2 linked regions of the Macaca mulatta genome follow. The protein of the gene in region 1 interacts with the protein of each later gene in a biochemical or structural test. Links are inferred from orthologs where the notes say so. Each region holds a gene or a part of one and is shown on either strand. Other genes may lie near its edges. The genes, in order: ATF7IP and MBD1.

Region 1 (3,823 bases):
TACCATCATTGTTTTATATGAGAAAACACTTAAGGAGTAACTACACTAGTAATGACTGTATGACAAATAAAAACTAAGGCTTGTACATCTCACTTATAAAAGTAATTTTGTACTTTAGAATTTGTTTCCTACATTACATGGTCACTTACAACATCAATAAGAAAAACACTAGCAATTTTACTATACACATGATGCCTACCCTTCCCTGCCTTTCCAAAAGTAGTGCGGATACATGTGAAGTCAGAAATGAAGAATAAGCAAGCTCAAGAATGCATACAACACAAACTCTTTCCAGGAGCCAGGAAGACACAGAGTTTGGCAGATTTTAAACAGGTATAGTCAAGTTCTCCTTTTTGCAGTATTTCTAAGTAAAATACAAACAATCATATAATATGTCATATGGGAAAACAGAAAGGATAAAACAAGAAGGACTCAAACATTTTATAGTAAATGTGAAAGAAAATCTATTTTTAAGTTGTTCAAATTTGGAAGCTATGAATGAGAGCACAAAGGATTTTCCAAATGTGTAAGGAACATAAACGTGCCTTTTTTTCTTAAGAGCATATATTATGTAAATTTGATACTTTAAAATGTTTTAAACAGACATTGCTGGCAAATGTATCATAAAAGTAACTCATAATGCTTGCCACAAAGCCATAAATTCAAAATTCACCAAACTTAGGAAAATTACTAAAAGATAAAACACAGATACTAACTTCTAATTCAAAATAAACCCCCTCTCAAGCCCCATTTTAGCAACATCATTTCTTCTCAGGTATCTAAAAAATTACTAAAAATAATCAAGAAAATTCTATTTATTTTGTCCTTCCAATAATGCTAGCCACTTAGAAAAAAAAAGTTCAATCGTTACAAGGCTATTAACATGCTTGCATTTCTAGCATTAAACCTACATGGTGACTTACCAATTCTTGGGGTGGTATTGCTGTTCTGTTCTGCAGGAGACGAAGTACTAAATGCAGAAATTGGAATTTTCATCTGTATAGGACCTCGATTATTTGATGGACTATAGAGTCCTGATGGGCCCACTGTGGGCAAAGAAGTCCTTGTGGCTTGTACAATAGAGTGTGCCGTTGGAACAGCCTGCACCGCAAGTGTTGTTCCCAATGGTGCAGCACTGGCAGTAGGGTTCCTTTGAATACTAGAACTGGGCACAGAAGGAACGTTGTTTGGTTTAGTGGGATTTGGCAAGGATGGCAAGGATACTGGATTTTTGGTAAGACCACTCACTGTAGGTGGGCTTTGCACAGAAATGAATTCAACGTTGCCAGATGGTTGATTAGTCACCAAAGTCCCTGGATGGCTCTGTAGAAGCTGAGGCTGGGAGGATACTGCAACAGGTACATGCAAAATCACTGGCAAAGGTTGTAAAGAGATTGTAGGTTGAGGATTTCCACTAGGCACCTGAGTAGTAGCAACTACAGTAGCTGTATTGGGTGCAGGAAGAACTGACGTTGCTGTGAGGGAACCCGAAGTCACTGGAGTCTGCAATTTAGGTTGACTACTGACAACTGTTGGAGGAGTGACAAGATTGGTTGAAGATACTATAGAAAGAAAACAGAATTCTCTGTTTAAATGGTTATATTAATTTATCAACTAAGAAAATATGACAGATACAAATTAAATACATTGCATTAGACTTAGCATAGATTAAATACATCGCAAAGACTGCAAAGTCTTTTATCATGAAATTTTTTCCAGATTCAAATTCCGAAATTTAATTTAGAATTAAATTCTTAGAAGAATTTTGTATGTAGGTTTAGTATATTACAAAAACAGCACATGATGGATGATTAATATGCAAGACTACTGAGTATCAAAATGGTCTCTGAAAATTACTATAATCACTTTAGAGTACCTAACTAGTACACAAATAAAAAATACTAAAAAGTTAAGTAAAAATATATATTTTTGAAACTACATTAAAAACATTATAAATGCCTTAAAACGCAAGTAATACCTAAACTCAAATAGTAAATCTAAAGAGTCATGACCATTAATGAATAACAGGTAAGCTTACTCATTATATTTTATTATTTGAACCATGTCTGTATCTTTGGATCAAGTTTGACTGAATTCCTTGGGAGAGGACCTATTAGGGGGAGGTTCCCTCTACTGACACCCTACTGACATTGTATGATATGAAAAATAGCACTGAGTGAAGTTGACAGATGAATTAAGAAGAAATTAGGTAGCATATACAGAAGAACAGAGAAAATACAAATGCTGACAAATGCTGGTCACTACAGTTTTATAGCAATTTTCAACTACTTGTGTTTATTCTCATTGGAACAGGTTTAAAATACATGACCAAACTTCTTTCTCACTGATTTATAGTCTTTCCAAAAATCACAGGTTCACTAGAGCAGCAGTTTCTCGAAGTGTGGTCCAGGGGGGTGCCTGGGGTTTTCTGAGACCCTTTTGGGGAGTTTGCAATGTCAAAACTATTTTCATAACAATGAGACATTATTTGACTTTTTAAATGAGCAGACATTTGCACCAATGGAGCAAAAGCAATGGTGAGTAAAACTTCTGATGCTTAGTACAAAAATCAAGGTAGTACAATGGACCAAACGTCGCTGCATTCTTCATCACATGCTTACAGTAAAAAACAAAGTCAGTTTTACTTAAGAATCCCCAAGATACAGCAGTGAAAACTATTAACTTTATTATATCTCAACTTTTGAATAGGGGTTCTTTTCTTAATATTCCATGTGAAGGAATAGGCAGTACATACGAGACAACTACTGCTTGCCAAAGTAGGATAGTTAAGGAAAAATGCGTGTGCAATTGAGCTATAAACTAAACTAGCAATCTTTCCCACGAAAGACTATTTTTACTTGAAAGAATGACCTATAGACACACCAATGATTCACATGTGGGTATTTTGAAGATCTTTTCTTAGAAATAAACTAGGTAAGGCAGTCACTTCAAAGAAAAAAAGCCCAACTGTATTTATCAGTAATAATAACATTTGAGTTCTTAAGCAAAACTAAGAACATTAGAAAAAACTTTTATCTGTCACTGAAAGCATGACAGCTCCCTAAATCCTTAAAATGCTTCTCTGAGTAGAACTGATAGTAAAATCAGTAAACGTAATTTTTAAAAATAATATTAACAAAATGTGTCAATATTTGGAAGATTTGCATAACTTGGTGAATAGTTTTCAAATGATCAATGAATATTAGTAAAACTCCATGTGCAAGTACAAGATAGAGGAATTTTTTTTTTTTTTTTTTTTTTTTTTTTTTTTTAAAGACAGGGTTTGCCTCTATCGCCCAGGATGGAGTACACTGGCGCAATCTTGGCTCACAGCGGCTTACACCTCCTGGGCTCATGTCATCTTTCCACCTCAGCCTCCCAAGTAGCTGGGACCACAGGTGTGCACCACCATGTCCGGCTACTTTTTGTATTTTTTGTAGAGACAAGTTTCACTATGTTGCCCTGGCCGGCCTGGAACTCCTGAGTTCAAGTGATCCACCTGCCTCGGGCCTCCCAAAGTGCGGGGATTACAGGCGTAAGGCACCACACAGGTCCAATAAATGGATTTTAATGGAGGAGTTAGAAAAGTTCTTTGGTGTGGTTTCAGATTATACTTCACAACCAACCTTAAAGAAACTACTACTGGACAGTATCAAAGAAGAATATCCACAATTATCTGTAAGGGCTAGCCCTTTTCCATCTATATATTTGTATAAGACTGGATTTCCTTCATATGCGTCAACCAAATCAACATTTTAAAACAGACTAAAAGCAGATACAGATATGAGTATACAGCTATCTTTAGCTGTCTTAATGTCTCAAA
Region 2 (3,751 bases), on another chromosome or scaffold:
CCCAAGGTTGTGCAGCCCAAAGGGCCTGGTCACAATTTCTGAGGCGATGGGGTAAACCGACCCTTGGCGACACCCGGCTGCACTCGAACGTCCTAGGTCGTCGAGCCCCGCCCTCACCCTGGACGTGCTCCGAAATTTAACCCTGGGTCGGTTTTGCCTGTTTTACCGCTATTTGAAGAGGGGCACTCAGCTTCCCTCTGGCCCTAGCCCAGGTACTGGGGTTTGCGCCGGACGGATGCCACGCCCCAGGGCGGCCAGGCCACTGGTGATGGGTGACGGGCGGTGCCTCCAGGGTCCCAGTGGTTCCCCGACCGGGAACTACGGGCTTTCTCGCCTCGGCGCCCCCTGGCGGGCCCACCAGCAGGTTGACGGTGTCCGGCCAGTGCTGAGCACCGAGAGCCTCAGCCTTCAGTGAACCCCCCCCCCCGCCCCGGCGGCCTAGGGAAGTGAATCTCAGGGTCCTTGGAAAGAAGTGACCTTGATCTTCCCACCCACTATCCCAGTTTCTCAGAGGCAGTCAACACTGTTCCCACCAAACCACTCCCAAAAGAAACACTGAGCATGTAAGTGGGACAATAAAAATTTAAAAATAATTTTAAAATAGAACAGCTTAGAGATAGAAACTAAATTATTTCCAATTCCTACTGTGCCCCAAACAAGGTTCACAAAAGGGCTGTCCTCCCAATAATTTTCTGAATTCTATATATTCAGCATTAAATTCCATGATAAAGTTGGAAATCCATTCACCATTTGTAATACATATTGATGCATTTAATAAAATTGCATGAGCCGTATCTTTTGCATTTCTGTATCCTAGTATTAAGTATAGTGCCTACCACAGGCCTGGTTCTCAATACTTGAATGACACAAAAATAGCCAGGACCAGCAAGTTTTTTCTGGGTGGGCTTCATAGAATCTCTGCACTTGCTGGAATCACCATGAAATTCATGGTCTTCAGCTTTGCATTTTCAGCAACATGGTTATATTGAGTTATCCTCAGGTGAGTAGTGAGACCCTTGGGAGCGGATTCATGGTAGGGCGGCTTTGTAATGTGTCACCTTGGTGAGGCTGTTTCCCAGAACTCTCTTCCAGTAAGATGGGCCACAAGAGACATTTTGCTTGATAACTGGAGGGCAGAAGTGAAGCAGCAGCATATTGTTTTTACACTTGGAAGGCTGGTGCTGGGGCACCAGGCGCTGTTGCAGTTCACACATTGTCATGTATCTGCTGGATCACCTCGTTGGTGTGGGCAGCAGCCAGGCCTGCAGCTGCTCCACCTTCCCCAGGATCATCTCTTCAGCTTCTCTAATTCCTGGGCCAGATGCATATTTAACTCTGTGAGGAAGGGCACCAGCTTCTTCTGCAGGACACCCACATCATCGAAGCTGGAGGTGGTGAGAGACTGACATGGGTTCCAGGCCATCCTCGTGGGTTCCAGCTCGTGCTCGTGGGCTCCACTGTGTCCTCGGTCTCCCACACTTTACATCCATCTTCCCTTCCCGAGTGCCTGCCCTGCAGACTTCAAGCTCCAGCATTAGATGCAAAGATAACAGCCTTACAGAGACTGTTTAACCAGCTCCCACAATGGCATGCAGTCAGATCTCTATAATAAATCCCTTAAAGTACATATATACATAATCTTTATCTTAGTGGTTCTGCTCTTCTGATTGTACCCTAACATACATGGTAGGCAGAAGCTTAACTCATGAGTCTAAATGTCAATCAAATAAATTTCATATAGTTCATTGTCAAAATTACCAGAATACTGGGGTTGGGTGGTTGGTTCCTGGGGGAAACAAAGCAGTATCAGTCTATCCAGTCTTGACTAGGGCTGAACTAGTTAGGGTGGAATAAAGGAAGGGGTGGCGAAGGTGGCAGAGGCTGGACTGTATGATAGAACTGGGAAATGGCTCATCCATGTCTGAATTACTTAAAGCTGCAGGGCTGGGACTAGGGTAAGGCAAGGGAGGCACGTAGGATACAAAGTTTAAGGAGGCACTCACTCAGTCCTGGCCCTGTAAAGCTGGCTAACAAATTACAGGTCTAATCTTTTTGGCACTTTATGAATGAAGAATTGGAAAGAGTGAGGTAGGGCTGAGCCAAGACTGGCCCTTGGGCAGGACTCGAAGCAGGAATTCAGCCTCCTAGAAGACATTTGGGCTGAGGGCAGGAGCCAAGCACAAAGGTCATCAGAGGGCAGGAGATGCACGTTGTCAGGAAAGATGAGCCAGGCTGGCAGCTTTAGTTACAAAGACTGCTCTAGCTGAAGAGGGGGAGTCAGGGTAACAAGCAAAATGGACAGCAGCCAGTGGGGAGATATATCCTGTAGGGTTTGAGGAATCCTATGCAGCACCTGGGGTCTGCAGGAAACCCAGTTTCTGTATGAACAGATGTTCTGACAAGGTGACCCCATCTACATCGAGTCTTGGCACTTTCTAAACCATGCTAGAGACAGGAATGTAAGGGATTTATTATAGTACTTATAGTAATCTGTGTTTTGAAGGTCACCAAAAACTCCTATTAGTGCATACAGGATTACAGGTTACAGTTTAGTGGCTTAAAGAACAAGGGCTTTAAAAGCTGGGTTTCATTCTAGGCTCTACTAACACCAGCTGTTCGACATTGGACAAATTAATGAGTCTGTTTTCCCATTCACAAAAATGGGCAAAATCAATGTCTTCCCAAAAAGATTATTCTAAGGATTAAATAAACTGGGTCCACAGAGGAACACACCAAATAGCAGTTCCTTTCCTTATTTATTCAATTACATTTTCAATTGCTGTCTCCCTGAGGAAGTATGTAGAGACACTGCCAGGTCTCATCCAGAAGCCACTTACAATTATTCATGAACATGGCTTGTTTAGGTTGTTTTGTGGTGGTTTTAATTATATTACCTTTCCCCATCCCAGCTCCCCCACCCTTAAAATCCAACTTCTTATACTCAGGCTCTTGGGGAGGAGAAGATGCACCAACTTTCTACTCTTTCTCTTCCTTTCCCGCTTACTTCTTCTAGAAGCTCAAAGTACTGTTAGGCCTGCTCCTCTGGTTTCGTGGTAGGTTTTTCCTCCTAGGGTTGATTCACACACAAGCCCTGGCAACCAATCTAGGGTCCAGCCCCTAGTAGATCAGTGTTGTCTCTCATAAAGCCAGTCTGCAAATATCACCTTGAATCCTACAGTCTGTAGAAGCCTCCAGTCTACTGCTTTCTAGCTCCAGGTTTTTTAAGGTCTTTGGACCTAGGGAAGAGGGAGCAGGTCTGTATGTTGAATGAGGTTTGCTATATGCGAAATGGAGCATTACAAAACCATTTCCTAGTATTCTGTGTCCTCCATCCACTTCCCCTTAATTATACCTTTATCTTTTTTTATATCTTCTAAAAACTACCATTACAGACAGCTTGTCCATAGTCAGATAATAAGCTCCCTGAAGGTAGGTATCTTGTGTCTCCTGACACAGGATATAAGCTTTGCAGGGCTCATTGTCCTCAATGCTGTGCACCCAGCAGGAACTCAATCAGGACTTCTGTAATTGGCCAAGCATAGATGAAAGGGTTTCCAGCCTGGTGGGCTAGTTTGTAGGAGCAAAGGAATCCACGTGCTTGGCCAATAGTTTACATTGCCAGTGTCTGGGGCTCTATGCAGGGTCTGTCAACATTCTATAGGAGTCAGCGTTCCCCTGCCCTCCCAACCATTCTAGTCCTTACAGGCATCTACCCTTCGTCCTATGCCAGGACTATAGGGACAGTTCTGCA

What was found.
Region 2: the proteins of ATF7IP (region 1) and MBD1 form a complex in vitro, tested with the Homo sapiens proteins (2 studies listed by BioGRID). The link is inferred for Macaca mulatta from reciprocal best matches to the Homo sapiens genes ATF7IP and MBD1.

The regions. Positions count from the first base shown.
Region 1 is NC_133416.1:16,905,918-16,909,740, reverse strand, and holds part of ATF7IP (activating transcription factor 7-interacting protein 1), read right to left. Parts: intron 1,563-3,823; coding exon 924-1,562; intron 1-923. UniProt on the Homo sapiens protein: Recruiter that couples transcriptional factors to general transcription apparatus and thereby modulates transcription regulation and chromatin formation. Can both act as an activator or a repressor depending on the context.
Region 2 is NC_133423.1:42,033,884-42,037,634, reverse strand, and holds the end of MBD1 (methyl-CpG-binding domain protein 1), read right to left. Parts: intron 3,237-3,751; coding exon of another isoform or gene 3,197-3,236; exon of another isoform or gene 1,520-3,196; coding exon 1,330-1,519; 3' UTR 565-1,329; downstream 1-564. UniProt on the Homo sapiens protein: Transcriptional repressor that binds CpG islands in promoters where the DNA is methylated at position 5 of cytosine within CpG dinucleotides. Binding is abolished by the presence of 7-mG that is produced by DNA damage by methylmethanesulfonate (MMS).